Linked DNA regions of Struthio camelus. The protein of the gene in region 4 purifies or fractionates together with the protein of the main gene of each other region. This does not show direct contact. Links are inferred from orthologs where the notes say so. Each region holds a gene or a part of one and is shown on either strand. Other genes may lie near its edges.

What was found. The genes of interacting proteins can lie anywhere in the genome.
Region 1: the proteins of SNRPA1 (region 4) and DDX46 purify together in Homo sapiens (affinity purification with mass spectrometry; 3 studies listed by BioGRID and IntAct, counting the BioPlex papers as one, with this or other methods). This does not show direct contact. The link is inferred for Struthio camelus from reciprocal best matches to the Homo sapiens genes SNRPA1 and DDX46.
Region 2: the proteins of SNRPA1 (region 4) and U2AF2 fractionate together in Homo sapiens (co-fractionation; 3 studies listed by BioGRID, with this or other methods). This does not show direct contact. The link is inferred for Struthio camelus from reciprocal best matches to the Homo sapiens genes SNRPA1 and U2AF2.
Region 3: the proteins of SNRPA1 (region 4) and CDC40 purify together in Homo sapiens (affinity purification with mass spectrometry; 3 studies listed by BioGRID and IntAct, counting the BioPlex papers as one, with this or other methods). This does not show direct contact. The link is inferred for Struthio camelus from reciprocal best matches to the Homo sapiens genes SNRPA1 and CDC40.

What each region holds. Positions count from the first base shown.
Region 1 is NC_090954.1:4,147,743-4,154,617, forward strand, and holds the start of DDX46 (probable ATP-dependent RNA helicase DDX46), read left to right. Parts: upstream 1-3,868; 5' UTR 3,869-4,044; coding exon 4,045-4,061; intron 4,062-6,812; coding exon 6,813-6,875. Other genes in the region: guided entry of tail-anchored proteins factor CAMLG, read left to right, coding at 700-891. UniProt on the Homo sapiens protein: Component of the 17S U2 SnRNP complex of the spliceosome, a large ribonucleoprotein complex that removes introns from transcribed pre-mRNAs.
Region 2 is NW_027182594.1:221,147-228,353, forward strand, and holds the start of U2AF2 (splicing factor U2AF 65 kDa subunit), read left to right. Parts: upstream 1-4,200; 5' UTR 4,201-4,292; coding exon 4,293-4,341; intron 4,342-5,008; coding exon 5,009-5,144; intron 5,145-5,268; coding exon 5,269-5,298; intron 5,299-5,413; coding exon 5,414-5,517; intron 5,518-5,639; coding exon 5,640-5,791; intron 5,792-6,497; coding exon 6,498-6,614; intron 6,615-6,724; coding exon 6,725-6,863; intron 6,864-7,207. Other genes in the region: CCDC106 (coiled-coil domain-containing protein 106), read left to right, coding at 1,603-1,919. UniProt on the Homo sapiens protein: Plays a role in pre-mRNA splicing and 3'-end processing. By recruiting PRPF19 and the PRP19C/Prp19 complex/NTC/Nineteen complex to the RNA polymerase II C-terminal domain (CTD), and thereby pre-mRNA, may couple transcription to splicing.
Region 3 is NC_090944.1:60,428,988-60,436,069, forward strand, and holds the start of CDC40 (pre-mRNA-processing factor 17), read left to right. Parts: upstream 1-4,075; 5' UTR 4,076-4,117; coding exon 4,118-4,342; intron 4,343-7,082. UniProt on the Homo sapiens protein: Required for pre-mRNA splicing as component of the activated spliceosome. Plays an important role in embryonic brain development; this function does not require proline isomerization.
Region 4 is NC_090953.1:4,274,775-4,282,364, forward strand, and holds the start of SNRPA1 (U2 small nuclear ribonucleoprotein A'), read left to right. Parts: upstream 1-4,573; 5' UTR 4,574-4,653; coding exon 4,654-4,735; intron 4,736-5,708; coding exon 5,709-5,856; intron 5,857-6,382; coding exon 6,383-6,461; intron 6,462-7,373; coding exon 7,374-7,420; intron 7,421-7,590. UniProt on the Homo sapiens protein: Involved in pre-mRNA splicing as component of the spliceosome. Associated with sn-RNP U2, where it contributes to the binding of stem loop IV of U2 snRNA.

The DNA of each region.
Region 1 (6,875 bases), on a different chromosome or scaffold from region 4:
TTGAATGCTTAATTTAGATTGGATCATATTCAGATATCCAGCAAATATTCTTAAATTGCTAAAACTTTGAACTGCTTTTCAAACTTGTTTGCCTGCCTGTCCGACCTCTTTGCGTCTTCAGGCTCCTACACGGCCTTACCTTATGGACAGAAAAGCAGCTTTGAGAAGGGCTTTTAGAGAGATTTTTGAGTTCAGAGGCTAAAACTACCAAATGGAGTCGTACTTGATGAGAAAGGAGCAGTTGGTTTTCAATTCTAAATCATATTTCTATGTTAGAAAAGTAGCAGTTTCTTTTGCCAAGTAGTGTGATGAGGTTAATCCTGCTCAGCAAGTGGAGATGCCTGGCTTGTGTTCACGCACCTGAGCTTCCCTTGTCTGGGACTCTTGCCACTCATGCTGGGGCAGCTGCATAGCCACGCTTTACAGTCTGTTGTGCCAGCGTGAAGTAGGCATAGTGCCCGTGGGGACTTGTATCTGCTGTGAACCGGACTCTCACTCAGCTCCATTGGATCCATCATAGCCTGAATCTCTAGCTAGGATGTGTTGTGAATCCTGGAGAGAATCAGTCCCAACCTGCCACTCTTACCCATGGATTTGGAATGCGCTTGGCTGTGGGTGAAACTAGCACAACATATGCAGTCTTTAAAGCAGAATTGGATTATAACAGAAGAACTAACTTAATATTGTTTTTTCTTTTAGTGTGAAAAGAAGGTGAAAACGACAGTACTAACTGCAGCTCTTTTACTATCTGGAATCCCAGCGGAAGTGATTAGTCGCTCCATGGACACCTACAGCAAAATGGGAGACGTTTTCACAGACCTTTGTGTCTATTTCTTTACTTTTATCTTCTGCCATGAACTTTCTGTGTTTTTTGGTTCTGAAGTACCCTGATGGCTGTAGAACTCAATGCAGTAGTTACACGAAAGCTTTCTGTTCTGTATTCCTTTAACATCTGACTGTCCAAGCAGGTTTAAACCTTAATTAAAATTCTTACTGGTTTGAATGCTTGAAAGGAGCCTTGAATCCAGTCATTTTGGGAATGGAAGAACAGGGTCCCAGGCTGCCAGTTGTGTTAGTGCAGTTTATTTATATTCTGTGTCTGCCTCTTACAAATACGAAGAATAGGATGCAAGTGTCAGTAGATATATTTTGTTTTGTTAGATGATGCCCTTCTCACCCTCCTTCATAAACACTTACAAAGCTACCTTTGTTTTTTGTGGAGAGAACAAAAAGAAGGGATCAATTTTCAACAGAACCGTGTATGTGTGTATATATATATATATATATATATATATATATATTTATCCAGTACGGCTGTAGCTAGCAAGCTCTGCTCAGTTTGTGTTACTTCCATTTTCTTAACAAAAGCTCTAAATAAAAGAAATCCCTATATTCTGTTGTTCCAATTCAGAATGCTGAGGCAAGCAGCTGCTTCTGGAGAATGTTGGTGAAACATGCCACTCCATTCTCCTAATCCTTGCCTTGCTATAAATTTGTTGTGATTGTGATGAATTTCATTTGATGATTCTAGTGCAAAACAGCTAAGCAAAAACAAATATTATATATATATATTTCCTTTTGGTCTACAAGTGTCATCAATCAAAAGTAGAAAGAAACGAAATTCATCTCAACTGTTTGTGAGTTTCCGGCAGCCTGTTAATCCTAGCATAGCTCATACCAGTGTTTTCGTTCAACCTCGCCACCCCCCCCCCCTTTTTTTTTCTTGTAGCAATAGTTTACCTCATGCAGGGAAAGATGTATATATTGGCAAGCAACCCGCAGTATAAAACATTTGCTCCGTATATGTAAAAATTACAAGGGAACTGTTGTTTTTCTAGCTCCTTGCAGGTTTGCATAAGACGATTTTGAATGTGACATTAATTTCTGTATTTTTTTCTCTGTTTATTACCAGACATTTGCATGTAAACAGGATCTCAGTTGCCTAGGAGTTCTGCTCCTGCTGCTTAATAGTACTACTAGCCAACGGCATATACTCTTTCATTCAGCAGAGCTATTTATATGTTAACTGATTTGCTGTCTTCTGTCCTGTGTTTTTGAAATTCCCCAATTCCCACAGAAAAATCAATGTCTGATGGGAGAATAGCATCTTAAATTTTCCTGTGGGAGTGCAGCCCCATAGGTGAAAAAGAAAACAAATACAAATGAATCCTACAACTGGGAAAAGTAGCAAGCTAGTGAGTGTTGTCTTGTTTCAGTCCTATAAGATTTTAATACAGTGAGAGGAAGGTGGCTTCATTCCAAATAGCCAGCCTTTCATGCTGACAGTCTGTAAAAATGTATGTTGAATCTCAACTTGATGTTATCATCAGCTTGTAGTTTTCCTATTAGAATTGGGACTTTCAGGTAATCCAGGCTAATATTTGTCTTTTTTTTAAGTGTAGAGAGACACCTAGTTACGGTGATAGCTGCATACATTTTAGGGAGCAAAACTCATTGTGTGTGTTTAAAATAAATGGCTCTGCTTTCTGCTTAATCGTTTCTGTTAAAGCTGCCTGCTGTAATCTTAGCACTGCATTTCTGACTCCAAAGTCAGATATGTGTTTGTGGCATGAAAAGAAGAAGCTTTCGTTATGGATTTGACGCTTTCAGTTTTTACTTGTTATTTTATACTGAATATCTTGTTGCAGATGTCCAGGTCTGGGCTGTAAAAGATTCTGACTTAGGTCTATTAGCACAGATATTAAAAGGTTCTGGCTAAATATTAGACAAAAGTTTCAGCAGGTTCAAATAGCTGACATTTAAGTTAAGGTTGAAATACGTAAGTAATGAGTTTGCTCAAAAATTATTCTTTCGCTTATATGCCCAAATGTAAAGACAAATAAATTTCGAAAATACCAGGTACTAGCGTCTGCAAAAAGCACGGAATTTCTAGTCCTGAGCACAAATATTTTAATCCTGATCAGCTAGTTAATAAGAAAGCAGGTGACCCACCTGCCTTATTGTATTTTCACACAGCCGCTTTTAGAATCCTTTTGCATAAAAAATGATTAAGCAGGTTATTCTCTCAAGTGGTGAAAGAAATGTTGCTACGAGACCTAATCTGGGAACTTTTCAGTCTGAAAACACCTGGTTTTATGTGACAAACTGTTCAAGATGGGATTGGAATATGGTCTTCCTGTCTCTTAAGTGAATATACATAGAGCCAGCAGGGACTTCACTAAATTACTCTTTGCCTTTGATCAAGAAATGAGTCTCCTTTTCCCCGTTTTGGCTTACCTTTGTTTATGTACATAATTCTATTTAATGTTTATTGCTAAACTGGTTGTTTTCTATTAAAAATATATTTGTTACCCCCCCCCCTTCTTCATTTCGTCTGTCGGCCTACCATCCTTTGTTGTAAAAGTCACGGTTTATTAAACGCGTGCCGAGTTGGTAGTTCCGCCAGGAACGCTTTGACCCTCCTGAGAGCAGCGGGAGCCCGCGCCCGAGCCTCGCCGCTGCGCCGGCCGTGGGCCTCTCCCCTGTAATTCGCGTTTGTCGCTTATGTTTAGTGTCAGCTGTCAACGGCCTCTTAAGAGGGGCAGTCACAGCAGGGCTGGCCGACGGCTGAGCGGGCTGTAGCCTCGAGGGTATGAGAAGAAAGGGCGTCGAAGCCCGCGGGTGGCAGGCGGCGTTGGCTCCGGCCCTCCCGTGAATCGATTCTGCCCCCGGAAACTTTGGCTTTTGGCCGGCGGTGAGAGCGTGCAGGTGAGGGCTGTGATCAGCGGGGCAGCCAGGCCCCTGCGGTGAGCCGCCGCCACCGCGTGTCCCGAGGACCTTTTGCCCCGGTTGGGTTAAAACAGGGGAAAATCGGGGGCCGCCGCCGCTTTCCCAGCGGGCTCCGGAAGCGGCGTTTGCCGCGCGGGGCGGCGGCGCGGCCTCCGGCCGCCAGGGGGCGCCGCGCCGCGGCGGCGGCCAGGAAGGTGTGTGTGTCGGGGGGGGAAGGCCGCTTCCCGCCGCGGCGCTTCTCGTCGTCCGGGGCGCTGGGGGCGCGGAATGGCCGCCGCCGTCTAGCGTTGGGCTCGCGCCGCCGCCGCCGCCGCCATGGGCCGGGAGTCCAGGTGAGGCAGCGCGGGGCGTCGCGGCCCGGCCAGACCCGGGGCGGCGGCCGGGAGGCGCGCGGGGAACAAAGGGCCGCGGCTGGGCTGGGCTGGGCTGGGCTGGGCCGGGCGCGCCGCGCCGCTGAGGCGGGACAGGCCGGACCGGGCCGGACGGGACCGGTCGGGACCGGACCGGACCGGACCGGACGGCGCTGCGCTGCGCTGCGCTGCCGTCGCCACGCCGCCCGCCCGCCCGGGCTGGTGGCGGCGGCCCGCGGCGCGGTCTGCGGCCGGCGGCGAGGAGCGACACCCGCCTTTTGGGTCGCGGTAACCGAGCGGCACCAAACGCCCCTTTGGCCTGCGCGCGTTCGCTTCCAAACAGTAAGAGCCACGTCCCTCACCTGGCAGGCGTTATTCCCCGTTAGCTCTTTTTGTTTTTTTTCCTTTCTCCTCCATATTCCGTTTTAAGTTCACGCCGGGTCACGTATCTTTTGTCCTCTCTCAGCTCGGATAAGCGTCGCGGTAGGTGTTTGAACCGGCTCAGCAGTAACGCGCTCGCGGACTCGGTGCTTCGGAGCAGACCGGAGCGGTTCAGAGCTGGTGCTAAGCCTGCCAGGTTTTAAATCCTCGTAGTAGTTTGCAAGTGCTCTTATAACATATATCAGTTTGTGACTACTAGTTTAGTTTACTCCTGGTTAATTAGCTTAATTAGCTTAGTTATAGGGGTTTTATCGCTGAAACTGCAACGCAATAAAAATGCATACTTTGTGTCCCTACCTGCTGGCGTCCCTACACTGCGAAGACATCCTAGGTTCATAACTTAGATCCCGCCTGACAGAGGCAAACGAGTTGAAATTTTGAGTACCGTCATGGGTTCAAACTGGCGATTCACTGCAGAGCTGTGTACTTAAAGAAGAGCTGCGGACTCAAAACCTTGTCCTTTTTGGCCTGTTGTGTCAGCTCGTCTAATAAAAGCCCTATGGAACTTGCCTCCGGGGTCACAGCCCCTCGTCGCTGAGAAAAGGGTGCACGCGTGTTTCAGGCAGCGACCGAACACGGCTCCCGTAGATACAGCTGAGTGAGTTTCAGACTAGTTAGCTGAGCGGTTGTTAGCTGCTGGCTGCGATGCTCGCACGGGACGCGGTATCTGCTGGGGACCCAGCTCCAAACTGCTGGCGCTCGAGCCGGCGGGGCTCCCTCGCTTGGCACAGTTCAGCTCCTCTTCTGATAGTGCTGCCAGTTTTTGTCGGGCTCTGAGGTCATGCTGAGCAGAAACGTATTTATCACACGAGGCCGCAGGCCTCTGAGGAATAATTCTTTTACAAGCAGGTCCTGCAGGCCCCGCTTCTCCCAGGCCCTGATGCGTACACACGTTTTTCTGTTTGTGGGTTTGGATAATGAGCTGGACCAAACAACTGGCTAAGAATAATCTAAAAAAGTGGAGTTTAATTTGTGTTATTTCTCTAGTTTATTGCCTGAAAACAGAATCTTCTAAGTAGAACTGAAGAGATGGTAAGAGAGTGAGAATGAGTGGTGGGTGGAGAAGGGTGGGGTGGGCTGCATGTGCTGGAATTGCTGTTGAAGGAAATGGTCAGCAAGGTAGAGCTTTTGAGACTTGAAATAAGATACCAGCCTCACTGCACACTCTAGAAACAAACATACCAAATACCGGGGGGGGGGGGGTGTGGGGAGGGGGCGGGATGTGGAGCAGCATTTTAGTGACAGAGATGAGGAAGAAATCGGAGATACCTGATGCTGACAGATGTCCTGCACGTTCAGTTGTACTGCTGATAGGCAACGCATTGATATTGTTGTGATTCCAAACGTGTATGATACTTGAATATACCAACATACGGAAATGAACTGTGTTACTTTTAGTGCCGATACGGTTGTAGTATAACCCTATGTGGTAATGAGGAAAAGGGAGGAAAGAAGTCAAGGGCTTGAGGTCTTGCTTTCTTTGCTTCTTCCTGCTTCCGACGCATTGCTACCAGGCTGGTGGGGTGAAAGGGTCTGTGGTCTCGGACTACCAGAGCATGAGGGAGGGAGGAAGAGGAGATGGTCCCCGTAGAGGTCCCTCTGTAACTTGTACGCTGAGGTGAAGAGTTTTGAGAACAGCTCCTAGCCCAAACCCCTCTCCCAGTTTGACTGGGATAAGAGAGCATTAGTGGAGGGCGAAAAAGAGATGCCCATCTCCACCACAACCCTTGAAAGCCTTGCTAACTTCTTGAGGCTTGCGTTGAGGTGTCTGATGGCGTTATGGAGTTTCTTTTGGTGTCAGCATCATAAAGGAATTGACCACTGCTGCATCACGTATGTTCCTTTAGTTGCAGTTTGACCACTTTTCCCTTGAACAGAGGTATAACTTACTTGGCTTACTTGGGTGAAAAGCGACAAAAATTAGTTTTACCTGTTTGACAAATTTGATGACGCACCTTCAAACAGTTGTAGGCTTTTCATGCATGTAACAACAATCAGTGGATTTCTAAAGGGGCAGTTATTTTTCTTGATGTTCCAGTGTTCTCATAGTGCTGTTACATCAGAGCTCAAAAACCAACGAAAAATATGACCAAGTAATCCATCCAATTTTGACACCATTAGGAATATGTTTGCATTAATCGTTTTTGCAAGAATGTTAAAAATGTTTAGAAAGTGAATAAATCAAAGAAATTAAGTGATTTTTTTTTTGCTCTCCAAGTAAATATGACAAATCTTTTAACTGCTAGTTTTTCTCATATTCGCATTCATCTTTTTTATGAATTTACAATACAGGCATTATCGGAAGCGCTCTGCATCACGTGGACGCTCTGGTAGCCGTTCTAGAAGTCGTTCTCC
Region 2 (7,207 bases), on a different chromosome or scaffold from region 4:
CCCCCCAACTCCTCAGAGACGCCCCAAAACCCCCATGGACTTCTCAGGGACCCTCTTGGAGACACCAGGACCCCCAACACTCCTAGGGACCCCCCCGGGACATTGGGACCCCCCCAAGACCCATGGGAACCCCCTAACACCCCCAGACCCTCTTGGGGACAGTGGAACCCCCCCAAAACCCCCAGGGACCATGCGGACCCCCCCCCAGGGCCCCCCTTGGGGACACCAGGGCCCCCCCCGGGACACCACCCCCCGTCCCTGTCCCTCCCCAGGGGACCCCGGACGTGACGGAGTCTCTCTCTTTCTCTGTCCCGCATCTGTCTGTCCCCGTGTCTGTCCCTGTCCCCGTGTCCTCATCCCCGTCTGTCCCCATGTCCCTGTCCATCCTGTGTCTGTCCCCGTGTCCTCGTGTCCGTCCTGTCCCCATGTCCTCGTCCCCCTCGTCTCCATCCTCGTGTCCTCATGTCCGTCCCGTCCCTGCGTCTCCACGTCCTCGCGTCCGTCCCCATGTCCTCGTGTCCGTCCTGTCCCCATGTCCTCGTCCCCCTCGTCTCCATCCCCGTGTCCCCATGTCCTTGCGTCTGTCCCCATGTCCTCGTGTCCGTCCTGTCCCCATGTCCTCGTCCCCCTCGTCTCCATCCCCGTGTCCTCATATCCGTCCCGTCCCTGCGTCCCCACGTCCTCGCGTCTGTCCCCATGTCCTCGTCCCCCTCGTCTCCATCCCCGTGTCCTCATATCCGTCCCGTGCCTGCGTCCCCACGTCCTCGCGTCTGTCCCCATGTCCTCGTGTCCGTCCTGTCCCCATGTCCTCGTCCCCCTCGTCTCCATCCCCGTGTCCTCATATCCGTCCCGTGCCTGCGTCCCCACGTCCTCGCATCTGTCCCCATGTCCTCGTCCCCCTCGTCTCCATCCCCGTGTCCTCATGTCCGTCCCGTCCCTGCGTCCCCACGTCCTCGCGTCCGTCCCCATGTCCTCGTCCCCCTCGTCTCCATCCCCGTGTCCTCATGTCCGTCCCGTGCCTGCGTCCCCACGTCCTCGCATCTGTCCCCATGTCCTCGTCCCCCTCGTCTCCATCCCCGTGTCCTCATATCCGTCCCGTGCCTGCGTCCCCACGTCCTCGCGTCTGTCCCCATGTCCTCGTCCCCCTCGTCTCCATCCCCGTGTCCTCATATCCGTCCCGTGCCTGCGTCCCCACGTCCTCGCGTCTGTCCCCATGTCCTCGTCCCCCTCGTCTCCATCCCCGTGTCCTCATGTCCGTCCCGTGCCTGCGTCCCCACGTCCTCGCATCTGTCCCCATGTCCTCGTCCCCCTCGTCTCCATCCCCGTGTCCTCATGTCCGTCCCGTCCCTGCGTCCCCACGTCCTCGCGTCCGTCCCCATGTCCTCGTCCCCCTCGTCTCCATCCCCGTGTCCTCATGTCCGTCCCGTCCCTGCGTCCCCACGTCCTCGCATCTGTCCCCATGTCCTCGTCCCCCTCGTCTCCATCCCCGTGTCCTCATGTCCGTCCCGTGCCTGCGTCCCCACGTCCTCGCGTCTGTCCCCATGTCCTCGTGCCCACCCGTCCCCGCGTCCCCACCCTTGGGGCCCCGCGCCCGGGGGGCAGTGAAGGACGCCGACGGGGTGCTGTGCCGCTACAAGAAGATCCTGACGACGTTCCAGAAGCTGAAGAGCATGAGCCGGGCCTTCGAGCACCACCGCGTCGACCGCAACACGGTGGCGCTGACGACGCCCATCGCCGAGCTGCTCATCGTGGCGCCCGAGAAGCTGGCCGAGGTGGGCGAGTTCGACCCCTCCAAGGAGCGGCTCCTCGAGTACTCGCGCCGCTGCTTCCTGGCCCTCGACGACGAGACCCTCAAGAAGGTGCAGGCCCTCAAGAAGAGCAAGCTGCTGCTGCCCATCACCTACCGCTTCAAGCGGTGATGGGCCCCCCCTCCGGACGCCTGGGCCCCCCCACCTCCCCCGACCCGGCCTGGAGCCCCTGCACCCCACCCCGGACGCCTGGGACTCCCCCAGGAGCCCCCCTCAGCCTCCCCCGGATGCCTGGGCCCCCCCAGGAGCCCCCCCGGATGCCTGGGACCCCCCCCAGGAGCCCTCCTCACCTCCCCCTGGATGCCTGGGACCCCCCCTCAGCCTCCCCCGGATGCCTGGGCCCCCCCAGGAGACCCCCCCCGGACACCTGGGACCCCTCCAGGAGCCCCCCTCACCTCCCCCTGGACGCCTGGGACCCCCCTGGACACCTGGGTCTCCCCAGGAGCCCCCCTCAGCCTCCCCCGGACACCTGGGCCCCCCCAGGAGACCCCCCCTGGATGCCTGGGACCCCCCCAGGAGCCACCCTGGATGCCTCAGACCCCCCCAGGAGCCCCCTTCAGCCCCCCCCAAACCAGCCTGGAGCCCCAAGACTCTCCCCTCAGACGCCTGGGCCCCCCTCCAGCTCCCCTCAACCCGGCCTGGAGCCCCAACACCCTCTCCCAGACGCCTGGGCCCAGCCCCAACCTGGCCTGGAGCACTGAGACCCCTCCCGGATGCCTGGGCCCCCCTCCCAGACCCCCAAACCACCCCCCAACCTGGCCTGGAGCCCCCCCCCAGCACACTGGGGACCCCCGAGAGCCCCCCGGACGCCTGGGCCCCCCTCCCAGACCCCCAAACCACCCCCCAACCTGGCCTGGAGCCCTCCCCCAGCACACTGGGGACCCCCGAGAGACCCCCCCGGACACCTGGGCCCCAGCCAGGAGCCCCCCCCCCCGGAAGCCTGGGCCCCCCCGGGGGGTGAGGGGTCCCCTGCCCCCCCCCAGCTCGGTGTCAGTGACGTTTCTGCCCCCCCCCGTCACCTGGACCAGGGAAAAAGCAGGAAAAGGAAGAAAAAAAAAAAAAAGAAAACACCCTGGAAAAGGGAGAGAAAAATGTACAAAAACAACCGGTTTCTGGCAGAGACTTGACATGACAGAGGAGAAAGCGGCGATTTGGGATAAAAGCGACGTTTCCGGCTGTGTCTTTTCCCCACCGTGTGTTGGGGGGGGTCAGGGGTCACCGGGACCCTCGGGGTCAGGGGTCACCGGGGTCAGGGGTCACCGCGAGGGCTCCCCCCGCCCAGGGGGCACGTGCGGCTCCCGCCTGCCCGTGACGACACTTCCGCTGGCGGCCGGAAGCGCCGCTGCCCTCCGCGCGCGTGCGCGCGCGCTGGCTCCGCCCCCCCGGCGGAAGTTGCCGAAGCGGCGGTGGGCGGGGCTGGCGGACCGGAAGTCGCCCCTGGGCGGAAGCGGAAGTGAGGGAGCCTCGGCGAGGTCGCGGCTGGGAGCGGTGCCGATCCGCCCGCCGGGAGCCGCTCGGGGAGGGGGGAGGCGGGAGAAGCAGCTGGACCGGAGCGGCCGCTCACGGGCAGCCGGTCCCGGTCGCCGCGGCGGGGAGCGGAGCGAGGAGCGGGCGCGGCGGCGGCGGCGGCGGCGGCGGCGCAGCCGCCGCCCGGAAGTCGTCGAGGTCCCGCCCGGAAGTGACGGAGCAGCGAGGCGGAAGGAGCCGAAGCGGTGGGGGGAGCCCGAAGGGAGGCGAGCGCCGAGCGGGTAGAGCGGAGCGCAGGCGGAAAGAGCCGAGCGCCCAGCGAATAGAGCCGAGCGCGGCCGGAGGCAGCCGAGCGCCGAGCGGGTAGAGCCGAGCGCGGCCGGAAAGAGCCGAGTGCAGGCGGAAAGAGCCGAGCGCCGAGTGAATAGAGCGGCGCGCAGGCGCAAAGAGCCGAGCGCGGCCGGAAGGAGCCGAGCGCAGGTGGAAAGAGTCGAGTGCTGAGCGGGTAGAACCGAGCGCGTAGAACTGAGTGCAGGCGGAAAGAGCCGAGCGCCGAGCGGGTAGAGCCGAGCAGAGGCGGAAAGAGCCGAGTGCAGGCGGAAAGAGCCGAGCGCGGCCGGAGGCAGCCGAGCGGAGGCGGAAAGAGCCGAGTGCGGCCGGAAAGAGCCGAGCGCGGCCGAAGGGAGGCGAGCGCCGAGCGAATAGAGCCGAGCGCGGCCGAAGGGAGGCGAGCGCCGAGCGAATAGAGCCGAGCGCGGCCGGAGGGAGCCGAGCGCCGAGCGGGTAGAGCCGAGCGCGGCCGAAGGGAGCCGAGCGCGGCCGAAGGGAGCCGAGCGCGGCCGAAGGGAGCCGAGCGCGGCCGGAAGCGGCCGAGCGCGGGGCCGGAAGTGGCCGAGCGCTGCCGAGCGGGGGAAGGCGCCGCCGCGGCCTGCGCGGGGTCGGAGCCGGAGCCGCAGCCGGGAGCGGGGCCGAGGCCGAGGCGGGAGCGGGGCCGGGGCCGCCATCGCCGTCGCCATCATGTCCGACTTCGACGAGTTCGAGCGGCAGCTCAACGAGAACAAACAAGGTACCGGCGCGGTGGGGGGGGCGCCCGGGCCTGGCTTTCCCCTCCCCCCCCCCGTGGGTGTCTGGGGGGGGGATCCCCTTCACCCCCCCTTCACCCCCCATCACCCCCTCTTCACGCCCCTCACGGGGTCCTCGCACCCCCCCATGGCTCCCCCCCCACCATGAACCCTCCCCTTGGGGGGGGTCTCTCCCCCCCCCTTGAGGGGGTTCCCCCCCATCATGAATCTCCTTCTTGAGGATCCCTAAATCCCCCCCCTTCAATGTGGGGGCCTCCTTGAAGGGGTCTCTTCCGCTTCCCCCCCCCATGGCTGCCCCCCATTTTGGGGGTCTCTTCTCCCCCCCCAACCCCCCATTTCCCCATGGGGCTCTTGGTCCCTGCTGCTGGGGGGGGAGGATGGGGGTCCCCGTGGGCCCCCCCTGAAAAGGAGGGTCTGTGCCCCCCCCCCGTCTTTGTTTTGGGGGCGCCGGGGCGGCTCCTCGGCCGTCGGCGACTCCCCGTGGCCGAATCCCCCCCTCCCCGCCCGCCCGGCGCACGTGGCTCCTCCCGGCCTGCGGGAACGCCGCGGTGTGGGGTCGGGGGGGGGGAAAATGGGGCAGGAGGGGTCGTGGGGGGGGGTGGGCTGCCGACCCCCCCCCAACGCATCCCCCTGCGCCCCGACTGCCGGCAGAGCGTGACAAGGAGAACCGGCACCGGAAGCGCAGCCACAGCCGCTCGCGGAGCCGCGACCGGAAGCGCCGGAGCCGGAGCCGCGACCGGCGGAACAGAGACCAGCGCAGCGTCTCGCGGGACCGCCGGCGGCGCAGGTACGGCAGCGGCGGCGGTGGGGGGGGGGCACCCGGACGCCTGGGCCCTTCCCGGGGTGGGGGGGGGAGCCGCTTCCCTTTCGGAGCCCGCGCCGAGCGCAACAGCCTCTCCTTCCGCCCGCAGGTCGCCCCTGAGCCTCTCGGGTCCCCTGAGGTGAGTGGCCGTGGGCGCGGGGGGGGGGGGGCGGCGGCGGCTCTCGGGGGGCGGCGCGGGTTGGGGAGGGGTCTCCCCGCCGCCCCCCCGACCCCTGCGTGCCCCCCCCGCGCAGCCGCTCGCCCCGGCACGAGAAGAAGAAGAAGATCCGCAAGTACTGGGACGTGCCGCCGCCGGGCTTCGAGCACATCACGCCCATGCAGTACAAAGCCATGCAAGGTGCCCGCCGCCCTTCCTCCCCCCTCCTCTTCCTCCTCCTCCTCGCGCTCCTCGGGGCGCTCCGGGGGGGAGCCGCCGCCCTGACGGAGCCCCCCCGCCCCGCTCTCCGGTGTCGCCCGCAGCCGCCGGCCAGATCCCCGCCACGGCGCTGCTGCCCACCATGACGCCGGACGGGCTGGCCGTCACCCCCACGCCGGTGCCGGTGGTGGGCAGCCAGATGACGCGGCAGGCGCGGCGCCTCTACGTGGGCAACATCCCCTTCGGCATCACCGAGGTACTCGGGGAGGGGGGGGGCCGCCGCCGGCGCCGGCCGAGCCGCCGCTTCCCCAGCCGGAGCGCGGGCCGACGGCGGGCGTTCGGGAGCGGGGCGTTGGGGCGGCGGGAGGCGGACGGGCGCAGCCGAGGGATGACGCCGGCCACCTGGAGGAGCCATCCGCGACACGAGCTGGGTCAGGTCTCGGCGCCGAACCCCCCCCCCCTTCCCCCTTTTCCCTCCCCCCCCCCCCGGGTCTGTGTGCGAGCGGAAGAGGGTCCGGCCCCGGAAGCGGGATCACGCCGCCTCCGGACGTCTCCTGGACGTGGCCCGCGGGAGCGGAGCCCCACGCAGCGGCTAGCGCTGGAAGCCACCTCCTTCTCTGCTCTTTCTCTCTGTCTTCTCCCTCCCTGCTCCGTTCTCTGCTCTTCTCTCGCCATCGCTCTCTCTCTCTCTTTTTCTCTCTCCTTTATTTATTTTGAATTTGACTCTCGGCCTAAAAAACAAGATCAAAGAGTTGTTTCCATTTCTTTTTAAAGTGGAAATTGTGGGGCTGAAATCCCTCGTAGCACAAAAGTTTGCTACCGCCGCACCAGGCAAGTAGGTCGTTTCCCGCTTCCCGGCCCCCCCCCGCTCTCGTCTCCGCGCGCGCGGTCGGCTCGCCGGGCCCCGGGGGTCTCGCCGGCCGGCGTCACCGCGCCTCCCCCGCCTCTCTCCCCCCCCCCAGGAAGCCATGATGGACTTCTTCAACGCCCAGATGCGCCTCGGCGGCCTCACCCAGGCGCCCGGCAACCCGGTGCTGGCCGTGCAGATTAACCAGGACAAGAACTTCGCCTTCCTGGAGGTGAGCGCGGCTCTGCCGTCCCCCTCCCGCCTTTTCCCCCCGGCGGGGGGAAGCGCCGCCGGCGGCTCCGCTCACCGCCGCCCCCATTTTCCGCCCCCCCCCCCCCGCAGTTCCGCTCCGTGGACGAGACCACCCAGGCCATGGCGTTCGACGGGATCATCTTCCAGGGGCAGTCGCTGAAGATCCGCCGGCCCCACGACTACCAGCCGCTGCCCGGCATGTCGGAGAACCCCTCCGTCTACGTGCCGGGTGAGGGGGGGGGGACCGGGGCGCGCGTCACCCCGTCCCGTCCGGCGGGAGGCAGCTACCCGCCGCTGCGGCCGGCCCGGTGCCGCTTGGGCCGCCAAACGGGCTTTTGGCGGCCGCGGCGGGAGCATCCGGGGGTGCGGGGTGAGAAGGGGGGGGCGTTGGGGGTCGCCCCGGCCTCACGTCCCGCTCGGCCCCCATCCGGGGGGGGGCGAGAAGGGGGGGGGCGTTGGGGGTCGCCCCGGCCTCACGTCCTGCTCGGCCCCCATCCGGGGGGGGCGAGAAGGGGGGGGCGTTGGGGGTCGCCCCGGCCTCACGTCCCGCTCGGCCCCCATCCGGGGGGGGCG
Region 3 (7,082 bases), on a different chromosome or scaffold from region 4:
TGAGAGAAAGGCTGCAGCATGCATTAAGATGTTAGATGATCCACAAAAGGAGAAGAACATATATGTTCCAAGCAGGAAAAAAAAAATCCATTAACACTTGCAATCATCCATGAGATTTTTAAAAAAAAAAGAAAAAAAAGAAGTAAGAAGCCAAGGCTTCAGACTTCCTATGTTCAAGGAACTAACTACTCTTTTAAAATAGTTCTTCTTTCTTCACCTGGGTGGTACTTGATATAGTATTCACCACCAGGAGTAGTAACAAACAAGTGCCAAATAGCCCTTTTTATATGCAAAAGGGCTGTATAAAGGAAAGTGATTTTTATCTCCCTTTGACTCTTACTTTCATTTCTCCAAAGTGACTGCAAGGAGAAACAGCAGTGGAAAAGCTGGATGGAAAGAAAAGCCAGGAATCCCAAATTATCTGCCACTCATTACTTCATGCTGTTTCATTCAGAATAGGTTTCATCTTTATGCAAAACATATGTTTTCTAGTCCCTGATTAAAAGGAAACAACATACTTGCAGTGCATAAGGATCAATGAGAAGATTTTTTAAAAAGCTGTATCAGTCTTTTGATTTGCTTGATATCAAGCAACCCTTTCCTAAATTCACAAGTATTCACTTAATATCTGCTGTGTTAAAATATCTAGATACAAATGGCAAGCAGTAATTCCACAGTTTTTTTTCAATAAAAACTAGATTTTAGACAATCTATGTATAGTACCCATCTATACTTTTCTTTTTCCTAATTAAAGCACAGTCAACTCAGTATTTCATACTAAGAAATTACAGCTGAATGCTTGGAAAAAGTTAATCTTGTCTACAGTTTAAGCAAATAGAAGTTTTATTCAGTGAAGTACTGTCTGACTTCTTCCAGGCTTACTTATATACTACCCTGATGGTAAGAGAAAGGCAACTAATTTAAACCAGCAAGCGACTCCCATAGGCTGTACAATGACAGCATCTAGAACCTCATATGATCAAATTTTACTCACAAGCAATGTAGGATATCTGGACATGATACAGTTTAACATACGTAAGAAAACTATCAAGCTCTGTCAACTGAACATTGCGATTCAAGGATAACAAAGCACAATCAAGACATTAAATTAATCACTCTCAACACAATTCTCAAAATAAAACATTATCGACTGGTTGCACAAACAGATCTTGAAATATTTCACTTTTTCGGAAGCGCACCTTGCAACTTCAGACAACACCCAGAAGCTGCAAATCAAGAAGAAAATAAGGAATGCAGTCAATATGGTATCAGCTAACAATTACCAGCAACAAACGAATCAACTACAGTGAAAGATCCACTTTTGATATTAATAAAGCTATGATTCATGTGAAGTTTCATACAGCTTACCTCATTTACACATTCATCATCCATGTATTTTGGATAAAAAGGCAACTCATAATACCATCCGAAATACTAGTCAAACACAGCATACTTCAGCTGATGGAGATGCAAACAAAGGAAAGGTCTCAACGTTGAAAACACGGGACTCTTGCCTAAAACCCTTACTAAGTCATTTTCCTAATCCTGATTCCGGCATGCAAAGAAGAGGTACACCTGTGTTTAATAAAAACAGATCTAAATACAGTACACTTTGCTTCACCCCTACAATACAATGAAGATTTTGTGATTTCCCCTTAGGTTTTATCCTGTCAACATTTTTTAAAGAATTCAAGTTATTTCTTCTCAAGCTAAGGCATTTAGGGGTGTGATTACCAGAAAGGACAGTAAATGAAATTAAAGCATTTAACTTGTAGATGTCACTATGTGTCCACTCCAATTCTGAAAAAAACACGCAACATGAAAGGAAGTCACAGGTACCTGCAATATACTGCTTCAGGTGCGACTACATGCAACGTATACGCCTAATGTGAAAGTGGAAAGCCGGCATCAGCGAGCTGTACTTTCCATTTATTCTGTCCGCAAGCGAAACGGGCAGAGAGAGAGGCGTTTTGCTGTCTGGAGAAGTTGGAAGCTACATGCTTCTCGGGGTGGCGTTGCATGCTCTTCTGCTACCAGCCAGCCGAGATTTCCAAGACAGCTGAACAATGGTAGCAGTGTTTCAGCAGGCAGATTTGCAGTGAATTTGATCGAATCCGCTCGTCTTCAAAAGGCAAACCGCACGCAGCTCCATCGCATCCATCCCCACCTCTTGCCCTCGGTAGCCCCAGTTACATAAATTAAGCGCAGGCAGCCGGCTCCGAGCACACCTCTGCTCAGACCCGCACGACCCGCTCGCACCTGGCTGCGGGTGACGTCATCCCTCTTCCCCCCACACAACCGCCCCAACCGCCGACCCCAGCCGCGCGGGGGTGAAGGGGGGGGGGAGGTACCGTCCCTACCGAGCGCCCCTGCCCTCTCGCCGCCTCACGGCGTCTGGACGGCCAGGAGAGCGTCGCGCTCCGCCACAAGCGCGGCCCCCTCCCCTCCTAGCGGTGGGGAAGGGGGGGCTCCGGAGCCCCGCGGACGCCGACAGGGGGCCCGCACCTGGCCGGGGAGGCGGGCGCGGGTCCCTTTGTGGGGCAGGCACGTCTCTCGCAGCGCCAAGGGAAGGCGGGCGGGCGGGCGGGCTGCCGCCCCGGCGGGGAAGGGAAGGGCGCCCGGCGGCGAGGAAGGGTCCCGCCCGTCCGCCCTTAGCCTCACGGGCTGAGGGGAAAGGGCGCGGGGGAGCGGGGAGGGCACTTACTCGCCAGCGCGCGCGTGTCCCGGCTCCCGTGCGCGGCCGCCCCTCACACCTTCATGCCGCTCGCCTCAGCCCCTCTCTCCGCCTTCTCTTCGCGCTGCCCCCGCGGCCGTTGGGCGCTGGAACTTCAAACGGCTCCTGCCATTCTGCGCGCGCCGAAGCCGCTGGCTCCGCACCGGGGGGCCGGGCGGGGGGGCGGGGGAGGAAAGAAGGAGGAGGAGGCGACGGGGGCGCGGAGCTCCCTCGCAGGCTTCACAATAGACACAGAACAGCGTGTGTGTGTGGGAGGAGGAGGGGCTTCTCCCCCAACCCGCCGAGGCGGGGAGGGAGGGCTGTTTACCCGGCCGCCGGCGCCCCCCCCCTCGCCCGCTCCTTGGGTCTGGCCGGCCTGTGCCCACGCGCCGCCGCCGCCCCACGCTCCGCGGCGGCAGGCAGGCAGGCGGGGAGCGGCACCCCGAGCCTCGCGCGCACCGCCCACCCCGCCGGCGGCAGGTGGTACGGTCCGGCCCGCCAGCCCCGTCTCTCTAACAGGGGGAAGGCGGAGCCCGGCATTGTGACGTACACAAAGCCGGCTCTTCGCAGCCAATCAGCGTGGGAGGGGCGGGGCCGAGCGGCGGCGGCGGCCGTGGCGGGCGCCGCGGTGCTCGGCGGGCCCGTCCCGCGGCCGCCGCAGGTGCCCCCAGGCGGGGAAGAGCCCGCCCCGCAGTTACGTTCCCCCGAAACGGTGGTGAAAAAGGTCTTCGTGCGGGAGAGGATGTGGTCGCCCGCGAACTGCTGCGCCCGCTCTGTGGGAATGTTTTCTCCTGTCGTTACGTCAGGCGCAAGCAGATGTAAGAAAACCAACCGAGCAGGGGGCTGTAAGCTCCTTCAGGGATGTTTCTGTACGCACTGGAGGCAGCGGGTGGCTGCGCTGCGCTGCCCACGGGCAGCCGTGCTCTTCCGGGCTGCAGCTCTTACCCCGTCACCGTCATCAGCGTGTTCCTTGGGAACCGCTAGGAGAAGCCCCCAGTCCCTCGTTTCCCCGGCTAGTGAGACGCTCTGACTTCCCGTGACCAGGAGGCAGGACAGCGGCGGCGGCGGCGGCGGCGGCACGCACCTACCTACCTACCTACCCACCTTGCCCGCTCGCCCGGCCGCCCTCCCCGGCAGCGGCGGCTCCGCGGGGCGTGCGGCAGATGTAGTCCCGCCTGGGAGTCCTGAAAGGTTAAACATCAACAACAAGCAGCGAGAGATTAAACCGCCCCCCCCCCCCTTGCCGACAGCCCGCAGATAACGGTAATTTATCTTTTAAAACGTATTGGAAGGTTTTAATGAGGCACCTGTTAACGGCCAGCCCCACCCGCTCGTTCCGCGCGGGGCGGAGGCGGCCAGAGGCGCTGCCAGGACCTGCGCGTTCCCGTCATCCCCCGCGCCAAGATGTCGGCGGCGATCGCCGCGCTCGCCTCCTACGGCGGCTCCGACTCGGAGCCGGACTCGGAGCCGGAGGCCGAGGGGGGCCCGGGCCGCGCCGCCGCCACCACCACCACCACCGCCGCCGCCGCCGCCGTCCTGGCCAGCCGCGACGCCGTGCTGCACCTCCGCGCGCCCCCCGCCGCCCCGCCCGCCCTGCCCGTCGACTCGGCCCCGGAAGTGGCCGTGAAGGTAGGCGCTGCCTCCCCGTCGGCCTCCAGCGCCGCGCCGCGCCGCGCCGGGCCGGGCCGGGGGGCAGCGCGCCCCCCGCCTTGGCGGGCTGCTCCGGGCCCGTGGGACGGGCCGGGGGGGTCGCTGCCCTCCGCCTCGCCTCGGCCTCACGGCCTGCAGCCCGCCTGCCGCGGCAAGGCCCCCCCCCCCCGCTCCCTGGGGAGGCCTCGGGGCTCAGCGGGGCGGGTGCGCCAGAGAGCCTGGCGGTTTGGGTCGGTTTGTTTGTTTTTTAACTGTAGCGGCTAAGCTTGTTAAAAGGCGTTATTGCTGTTTGAAAGCCGTGCCTTGCTTGGAGTTCAACAGATATCCCTGTCTCTTGTTGCGCTGGGTTGAACATGCAGCGTTTTTCTGCGTGGTTTGCCCAGGTGCAGGGGTGAAACGGATACCACCTTGACAGGCTTAGTGCAACTGAATCCTCTTCTAAGAGCAGTAGTGAAAGCTGATCGGTATTTCTTTTTTCACTCTAATGTTGCCTGGGAAAGCAGAACAGGATTGTATTGGCTCCTTTTTGTGACCAGAGAAAGAGGTGGCGGGAGGTGTTGGCTTGGTTTGGGGTTTTTTAGTATGGACAATTTGTTTCTGATCTCAAGTGTGTAGCTCACTGTAGGGAATATTAATGTAATATCATGCTGCTTCCAACTAAAACGTTCCATACTTTGTGCTAAACAGGCAGGTAGAATTCTTCAGTTTGTTGTCCTCAGTCAATGTATGTGCTATTACAGATGGTCGTATTTGCGCGTGCATGTTGTTGCACTTATTATATGTGTGTTTTATTATGCCTTGAAGTCTAGAAGTTTGTAACTTCTTGATTTGCAGCTTTTGGCAGACTGTCTTGCATGAGATTTGAAAGGAGCGCTAACTGATATCTGTAATGTCTTTTGAAAGTGAAGGAGGATAAGTGTTGGCTGTGCTCTTTGTTCTTCTAAGGCTGCAGCAACAGGTTTCCCCTTTACTGTGCCAGCACAAACATTTATGGAGTTATTTGGTGAATGAGATCAGGAAACTGATGTGGCTGAAGAAAATAATTTTTCACTTATTGCTCCTTTGGATCAGATCCTCAATGCAGCTCACAATGTAGCTGCGTGAACACTGTCCCAGTACAGTTAAGCAGCCGTTGCAGCAGTGGGAAGAAGAAGCTGGGGGAGTTAGCTGTGTCAATAGCTTATCCCATTCAAAGTTGTTCACCAAACTATGCTCTGACAGGGGAGGATCCGCCAAAACCTCTAGAACGGTCTCTATGGGTTCTGCTACCCAGCTACAGAAATGTTTCATTAAAATGTTGTATTTCACTTTTGTTTGAAATCATAGATGAGATGCATATAACTAAAAAGATCAATTACTTCAAGCTAAGGCTTACTGAATACTCAGTGTACTGGAATTTCTGTTAGCACCACAGTCGCCTTTGAGAAGAAACAGACAATTTCTCTAAAAAGTGATATCAGGCCTTTTTTCCAGACTTGTGTTGCTCAAGAAAGGATCAGTGGTCTCAAGATCGTGGACAACGTGATCTCGGTGCCTTCCATGTCTAAAAATAAGAGTGATCCACCAAAAAAAAACCTGGAAACTTGCTGATCGTCCCCTTAGGATTTTTCCCAATTCTTCAGGATTGTAATTTAGCCGTAACTGAACAAACATAGAAGAAATGATGCTCGAGTGTAGGTCTCAAGAATTTTCTCAGTGCTGCATTAGAAAAACAGCAAGTTGAGTGAGGAGGAAGGCAGAGTTACAGTTCATTAGTATGGTTTTCCACTTGTGCAAACATTGTTTTGACATGAGTAAGGATCGAGTACGCTTAAATGTGTGATTATATATTACACAAGGGACCAGGAATGGAAATAAGGGAGGAGGGGATGCCATCCTCTAAAAGAAAGGATAGCAATAAGAGGGGAGGCTGGGAGGGTTAGTCATACCGGTCAATATGAATGACAGCCACGTTCTTGTGTGTGGCTTTTTGGCAGTTAAGAATATAACTCTTGAGTAGTTGGTGCTCTGCTTTCTAATTCTAATCGTCGTACCTGTTTCTGGTTAGTTAGTCTTTTCAGCCTGTTTACTTGCGTAGACTTGAGATTTGGATGTACTTTAAGAGGAAAAGGTTCCTAACTATTCGCAAGGCATAATTACTACCACACCAGCCACAGCGCTTGGTTGCTGGTGTTAGTTAAATGTACTTATCAAACATAGCCCTCAGATGGTACTCCAAGATGTAGTTCTTTATTCTACAAAAATCAACTGAGTTCTTGCCTCTAAATACATCATAAATATAACTGAGATCTATACTAATGAGTTGTAACTGTGTTTTTAAAATGTGAGAGGATGGCTTTTGTTACACCCTCTTACAGTGTGCTTGTTATGATTTGTCTACTGCTGATCTTGATGTTAAATTTACTTATATTAAATAAGATTGAGTTATAATTATTGGTCACTTCCATCCAGTCATACTTTTCTTTTAATTAACCTGTATTAGGAAAGCTGAATTAAATGATTGTATAGATTTCTACTGATGTCCCTCAGCTCCTGTGAAGTACTGAACAAAATGGTAGTGTCTTGAAGACAGCAGAGGAAGAAAGTGCACAATTCTGGTCCCCTTGTCACAGTTTGGATGTATTAGAACTGCAGAAAGTTCAGAGAAGGACAGCAGGGTTGATCACTGGGGATGTACCACATCAGTATCACATCAGGGATGTACCACTTCTGTTTGAGG
Region 4 (7,590 bases):
CCAGTATTTTGTATTATGATCCTTCCTGTATTTTTGGTGGGAATACTCGTCTCCCTCAAAAAATCCTCGTATTCATGGCAGTGATTTTTCTTGAGCATCTGTTTCCGAAAGGAGATATTCCAGGGATCCAGCCAGGAAACTCTAAATTCTACAAAACCCTCTCACAAAACAAACCTTTTCATGCTCTCTCTTAATAGTACATCATGTGGTGTTTATATAATTGTGTTTAAAATATCCTTGGCTATGTTGTTTTACAGATTTTTTAAAAAATAACTTATACAATCCTTGTTTTTCTCTGTAGATTATTTTTTGTATGGGGAGTGGGGAATCTTTTGTCTTACGTCCTTCTGCTCTTTCCAGCCTCTCTCCAACCTTGCAGAGATGCTCTTTTCACTAGACATATGTAAACAATTATTTCCTCTGCTGCATGACCTGATTTTCATTGTTAATAGTTTTAACAAGTTAAACCTTTTGCCAGTGAAATTCACAGTACAAACTATCACCAGTTCCTTATGGAGCTGGGATAATCCCTGCTTGGTTTTGGTTGCAACGATACGCACCCTGCCTGGGCTTGCCCACTAGAGCTTATCTCGGCCAGGTGAAGAGGGGAGAGCCAAACTGTCATCGGTCCTAACCCGAGTGGACCAGAACCAAGTAAAGATGGAGCTTTGGTGAACCGACCTTTAAGTTAATAAACTATTGATCTCCCCTTACAAAGGAATCTGTGCTTTTTCCAAATTCAGCGCAGCCACCACCCTGACCAGAGGCAGGTGAAGGCTGTGACGCACCACGTGTCTTTATTTTACTGGACAAGGAAGCTGTCCTGCTCAGAGCTCCTGATCGGCCCCAGAGCATCTGTGGGCAAGATTGCTTATGAACTGCATCTGCAAAAACTTAGACACGTTTATTCTCATAAAGGTCTTTTACCCTCAGAAGAAATGCACCTCCTGAATGTCCCCCGTAGTCACAGATCTCCAGAGCCCTCAAGTAGTATTGACGCTGTCGTTGCTTCATTATTAGCATTGATATTGCATGATCAGCCCGAGCTCCGCAGCCGCGGAGGGCTGTATCCCGCACGGAGCATCGCAGGCTGTCGGCACAGGCAGTGCTCTGCCTGTGGCTGGCTGCCACAGGGGCTCGCTCCCCTTTCCCACCCATCCGCGGCCCCCGCGAGCCCCCGCCACATCCCTGGTCCCAGCACAGAGCTGGTGCCCTCGGGGCCCACCTTCCCCCTTCCGCTAGTTGGTAAAGGGGAGGCGATGCTGGTGTCAGGGAGTGCAGGGAGCTCTGGAGCCTTTTGTTTGTTGTGTTGGTTTTGCAATGTTTAATCGGGGGCCAGGTGCCCAGGGTAGTCCCTGGGTATCTGGAATCGAGCCTTATAGGTGTGAAGAGAGAAAATAAATGAACCTTCCCCCCACAAGGGAAGGTGCTCTCTGAGCTGTGCTGCTGTGGGCTTGTGTGTCTTCTAGTTCTTCACGTTTATCAGATGATAAGCGTGAACTAATGAGATGGTTTACTGCATATCCTGATTCTTTCTGTTGCTCCAGCATCCCGCTTTTGGTCTTGGGCCAAACCAGAGGTCAGAAGTGGCGTGAAATGCTTCTGGCTTCTGCCATTTAGGCTGTAAAATGAAAAACTTCTAATTCTGTTGCTGTGTCATACAGTCAGAAATGGGAGCTGTGAATGAAGAGTACTGTGTCAGCTTTGGCTTTCAGTTCTCTGGCTCACAGTGGCTGCCTCTAAATACTGTTCCGTGGTATATTTAGATGTACTGAAATGCTAAAAAAAAAGAAAAGAAAAAGAAAAAAGATGTTTACCCTTACATCCTTGGCATAACTTAAAATACATACTGGGTGAAGCAATGCAATTTAAGATGACCGGTCCCCAGCGGTCTCAGCTTTATCCTGCTTCCGCTGCCCTTATGAATCCCAGTCTATGGTGGACAGTGCCAAGAGGACCAAATTCTGCACAGTTTGGCTTACACAACAAAATCAGTTTCCAGTATTTCCCAGGGCATTATCTAACTCCCTCAGAAATCATTCTTGGAAAGTAATAAAATTCAGATTATTTATCCAAGCTATTGCAGTGTTTGCTCAGAGCTATTAAAGTCCCTCTGACATCAGTATGCTCAAAGGATCAAAGTGGCTGTGTCTTCCAGATAAATGCCTATTTAGTCAATTTATTAAAGCACATTTCTCTCTTGTCTCTTGGCACCAGTGACAAATCTATAATAGCTGTTTTCTGGAAAAACCTCTTAGAGTAGCCTGACTCCTCGTTTGCTGTTTGGCTGCGAGGGCGCATCCACAGCCCTCTGCTGTTTCATAGCTAGCAAGTGGGGAACACACATCTTAAAAATCATTGCTTTGACTTTCCATTACAAAGAAGGGGCTTTTAAGAGCTCGTGTACAGCATCTGAAGCCAAGAACCTCTCTGCTCTCCAGCCTATAGCAGCTGCAAGGCTGAGGTGTAATACAGCTACACAGCGCTACGGCAGAAAGGTCCACATTTTGTTTAGCCTTGTCAGAGGCAGGACCTGCTTTTCAGGAGCTTGAATCTGCTTTTAATGAGTGCCTGATATGACTCAAGACTGTGCTGTCTTTACCACTGCGTGATTCCTGAGTCACCTACCACAAGTGCCACTAATTCTTTCTTTCTTCCTATGACATCTCTCTTGCTCTTTCTCTCCGAACGTATTTTGAGGAAATGCAGATGCTATGAACACCTGACTATACGTTCTCCTAAATAGCATCAGTTACAGATAGCAAGGAGGCTGTTTTAAGTAGGGTGCACAGGAGCTGCCTGACCCCAGCCCGAACAGAGCCAGCTCTGACGCCGTAATCAGGGGGAACGAGCCAGGCATCACGCACGGGCTGAGGGTGCCAGAGGCTCCCAAAAGAAGAGCTGGTGTGGTACCAAACGTGACTGCAGCATTTAACCCGCTATCAGATCCCCCGAGTTCACAGAAATGTCACAGCTGGTGAAAAAATCCTTCCCTAGATAGCAAGGGATGCAGAAATCACTCTGCCTCACCTGACTCAGGGAGCCTGGAGGGTCGGAGCGTCCCTGGGGCCGCAGGAGCGGTGGCCGCATGACCGCAGGATTTGGGGTCTGCTCAACCACTTCCCTTCCCGCGCCGCCTTCTCCCGCTGCCAGACGGCGGATTTGATGCAAAGGCCCAGCTCAAAGAGGACTGGCCTGGGGCAGCCGAGACCTGCACCAGACCGCTGGAGTTGGCGCCGCTCGGGAGCGCTAAGCCAGCCCAGCGTCAGGTCGGACCTAGCGGCCCGGGTCACCCTTAGAGCTGCGCCGGCAGCGCTGGGGAACAGCAACCAGGGCGGCGTTTCCGCGAAGGAGAAAGCGCGGGGAAGGCCCCGAGGGTGCAGCAGGCACGCGGCCGGCCCGGGCACCGTCCCCTCATCGCGTAAGAGCAGCCGCCCCGCGTCGGACCAGAGGTCCGGCACTCAGCAACGCGGCAGCTGCCCTCACGGCTCGCTGCACGGGGCCGCAACAAGCAGAGCCCGGGGGCTACCCCAGCTCTTCCTCACCGGTTTCCAAATCCCTAAGGCAGCTAAGGGCAGGATGGGGCGGCGAGGCGTGCAAAGCGCGTTTTGTCTCAAAGGCGAGGGCAGAGCATCCCGCGGGGTGCTCCCAGCCCGACCTGGCTTTGGTGAGAGCAGGAAGGTGCGTGGAAACGCCAGAGCAGCCACAGCGAACGCCGCAGCCCGCAGGCACTTAAGAGCAACCCTGCGTTCAGGAGCGCGGGCTGGTGCTGCCGCTTGGACGGAGGAGAGAAATTACACCCGGCGCTGTAATCAGCGCGGGCCGCTGTCCCGGCTGCTGAGCAGGAAGGGAGCAGCGTACGTTCCCACGAGCGCAGCGCCGCCGGCTAAACACCGAGGCGCCAACTCGGTCCCCGGCGCGAGGCCTGGACCTCCGCCGAGTCACCCCGTGCCCTGAAACGCCAGCCGCCGGGCGGGAAGCTCTGGTGAGCGGCTTCGCGCCGCTTTGGGACGCCGCTGGCCGCGGCGACTCCCCTCTCGCCCAGCAGAGCCAAGCTCCCCGCTCGTCCGGGAAAGCGCCGGGCGCCGCGGCCGGCTGCCCCCCGACTCGGCGTCTGGGGGGACCCCGCAGCTCGGCTGCCCTTCGCCCTGCCCCAAAGGGGAACCAGACCGCCGGGGAGACCGGCCTGCCCCGGGCCTGGCGGGGAGCGGGACCCCGCGGAGGCTTGGGGGAAGGCGGCGGCGGCCGGACATCGCTGGCCCGGGCCGAGGAGGCGCCGACGGGAGCCCGCAGCGGCCCCGGCGGCCAGGGCTGCCCCGCCAGGAGGCGGCGCACGAAGGGCGCTGCGAGCAGAGGGGAGCGCGGGTAAGGACGCGAGGTGCTCAAGGAGACGGGGAAAGGGGGGACGCCGCGGGGGCGCTGAGGAGGCGGCGGGCCGGTGGCTGCCGAGCCCCGCAGGCCTCCCTGCCCCGGCCTCCATCTTGGGGGTGGAGGAGGGGCTGCCCGCTCGCGGGCTCGGCGCTCGGCTGGCGGGGCTGCCCGCTCGCGGGCTCGGCGCTCGGCTGGCGGGGCTGCCCGCTCGCGGGCTCGGCGCTCGGCTGGCGGGGCTGGCGCGCGGGCCGGCGGCGGCGTGGCGGCGGCGGCGGCGGCAGGATGGTGAAGCTCACGGCGGAGCTGATCGAGCAGGCGGCGCAGTACACCAACGCCGTCCGCGACCGCGAGCTCGACCTGCGCGGTGCGCGCCGGGGAGGGGGGGGGGGACCGGGGCCGGGAGGGCCTGGGCCTGGGGGGGCTGCCGGGGCCTACGGCGGGACCGGGGCCTGTAACGGGGCGGGGGGGGGGAGGGGCCTGTCAGGGCCGGCGGTGGCAGGTGCGGCTGGGGGGGTCTGTGGGGGGGAGGCGGCGGGGGCCGTGGGGCGGCGGGGCCCTGACGGCGGGAATCGTCGGGCGGAAGGGCCGCGGGGGCCGTGGGGCCCTAACGGCGGGAGCCGTGGGATGGTGGTGCCGCGGGGGGTGTGGGGCGGAGGGGCCTCGGTGGCAGGGGCTGTGGCGGTGGGGCCTGTGGAGCGGAGGGGCTGTGGAGGCGGGGGCTGTGGAGCAAAGCAACTGCGGGGGGTGTGGGGTGGGGGGCCTCGGTGGTGGGGGCCGCGGGGCAGAGGAACCGCGGGGGGTGTGGGGTGGAGGGGCCTCGGTGGTGGGGGCCGTGGGGCAGAGGAACCGCGGGGGGTGTGGGGTGGAGGGGCCTCGGTGGTGGGGGCCGTGGGGCAGAGGAACCGCGGGGGGTGTGGGGTGGAGGGGCCTCGGTGGCGGGGGCCGTGGGGCAGAGGAACCGCGGGGGGTGTGGGGTGGAGGGGCCTGGGTGGCAGGGGCTGTGGGGCAGAGGAACCGCGGGGGGTGTGGGGCGGAGGGGCCTGGGTGGCAGGGGCTGTGGGGCAGAGGAACCGTGGGGGGTGTGGGGCGGAGGGGCCTGGGTGGCAGGGGCTGTGGGGCAGAGGAACCGTGGGGGGTGTGGGGCGGAGGGGCTGTGGCGGTGGGGGCTGTGGGGCAAAGGAACTGCGGGGGCCGTGGGGCGGAGGGATCATGGGGCGGGAGCCGTGGGACAGAGGGGCTGCAGGGGCGGCGGTGGTGGGGCCATGGGGCAGAGGGACCTTTGCTTTGTTGTGCTGTCCAGATGCCATCTAACCCCTGTCTGACGCTTTCTCCCCAAGGTTATAAAATCCCTGTTATTGAGAACTTGGGTGCCACTTTGGACCAGTTCGATGCAATTGATTTCTCTGACAATGAGATCCGTAAACTGGATGGGTTCCCTCTGTTGAGAAGGCTGAAAACTCTTCTGATGAATAACAACAGAATTTGGTAAGTGGTTGTACTTCAGCCAGATGGGCAGTGGAAAATGCTCTAGGGAAGCAAAGAATCCCGAGTGTGTGTCCATCTTTCAGTGGCGGGTGGTTGTAGAAGACCTGTTTGTTTCAATGAAAGAAATTGGCACCCAACAGCACGGAGTACTCTTGAAGGCCTGTTCAATTTGCCTGCTTCGTGCATTGCAAAAATCTGTCCAAGATCAGTATTCGTCTTTCAGACAGGACAGTAGGAGGTAGAACTTGGAATTTGCCCAGAGCCAGAGACTTGGGAGCTCATTTGTCATCCCTGTGCTTAGGCGATAGCAAAAATAAATCAAGCTGTCCTAGGGAGACTGGGGATACCTGCAAGTGCGTGCATATGTTGCATCTAATGTTTTTATGTTGATGCCAACCCAAACTTCTGATAGTGTCAGACTTGGTTGTTTTAAAATTAGGTACTCTAGATTACAGTCTTTCTATGCGTCTTTGCACTGTTGTTAGTTTCCAACCTTAATAAACCTTTGGTTTCTGTTCTCCCTTAGTCGGATCGGTGAAGGACTTGAACAGGCCTTACCCTGTCTCAGGGAGCTCGTTCTTACCAACAATAACATTGCTGAATTGGTAAGCTATGAGTACTGAACGAATCTTAACAACCTTAAATTATATATGTATGCCATCTTTATAATAACCTTTTTCCTCTATTTAGAAAAATATCATATCATTTTAGTAGTAGTTGTGATGTATTTATTTTACAGAATATGATGTGTGGCATGCAGTGGAACAGTAGTTTCAAAATCTTAGTGGCTTTCCTGTTAAATTAATTGCAGTAATTCTAAAATGGATATGAGATTCTAGGAAGAGCTTTGAGAAAAGAGATTTCATTACTTTGTAATTAAATATTTTTAGCTCTAGTTTTGAACTGAAGAAGGAAAGTTTCTGATTCTCAAAAAAAAAAGTGAAATACTCTTTTAAAACTTATTTCAGGTCACTTATACCAAAGTAGGAATCTCAAGCACAGTATTTCTTACAGTCTCCCTTTGAGTTACATAATAGGTAACAAAGAGCATTCGTGTAACTTCTTTGTAACTGCATTGTTATACTCACAAAAGTTAGGCAGATCTGAGTCTTTTATGTAGAATTTGAACAGAGTTAATAGCTAGTATGTCTGCTTACAGTTTTCTATCTCTTACTTCCGCGTTAAGACTGAAGCTTACTTTGTTGCTGTTTCTTTTCTTTCATATTTTTTGAATGTATGTTTTTCATAGTGGCAGTCAAGACTCTTAAGGGCAGCTGGCTGTCTTAAATTGTGTACAGTGTAATTACTTGAAACATTATTGACTTAGTAGAGTTGTCACATCTAGTAGTACAAATACTCCTCTATTTGCCAGTGTTTTCAAAAAGTAAGCTTGAAATGAATGTGAGGGTTTTTTTTTTTGTCACTGCTTGTGTGTCAGAGTAAAGGCTGCTAAAATTTTAAGGACTTTGTTCTCATTAAATGGATTTAAGGTTTCGTACTGTTTTCCCATTATGTAGGGTGAACTGGATCCATTATCAACTATTAAAACGTTGACTTATCTGAGGTATGTAATCTTGAAAAGAAAAGCTATTCTTTCTGTACTCCCCTATTGGCCTAGCTCTTTATTTCAATCTGGAATGCTCTCCTTTTTCTGGGCTGGAACAGGTTCTTTATGCTTAAAAGTTGAATCAATGAACAGCTTTTCCCCTAGACTTCAGGAATACATGGTATTTC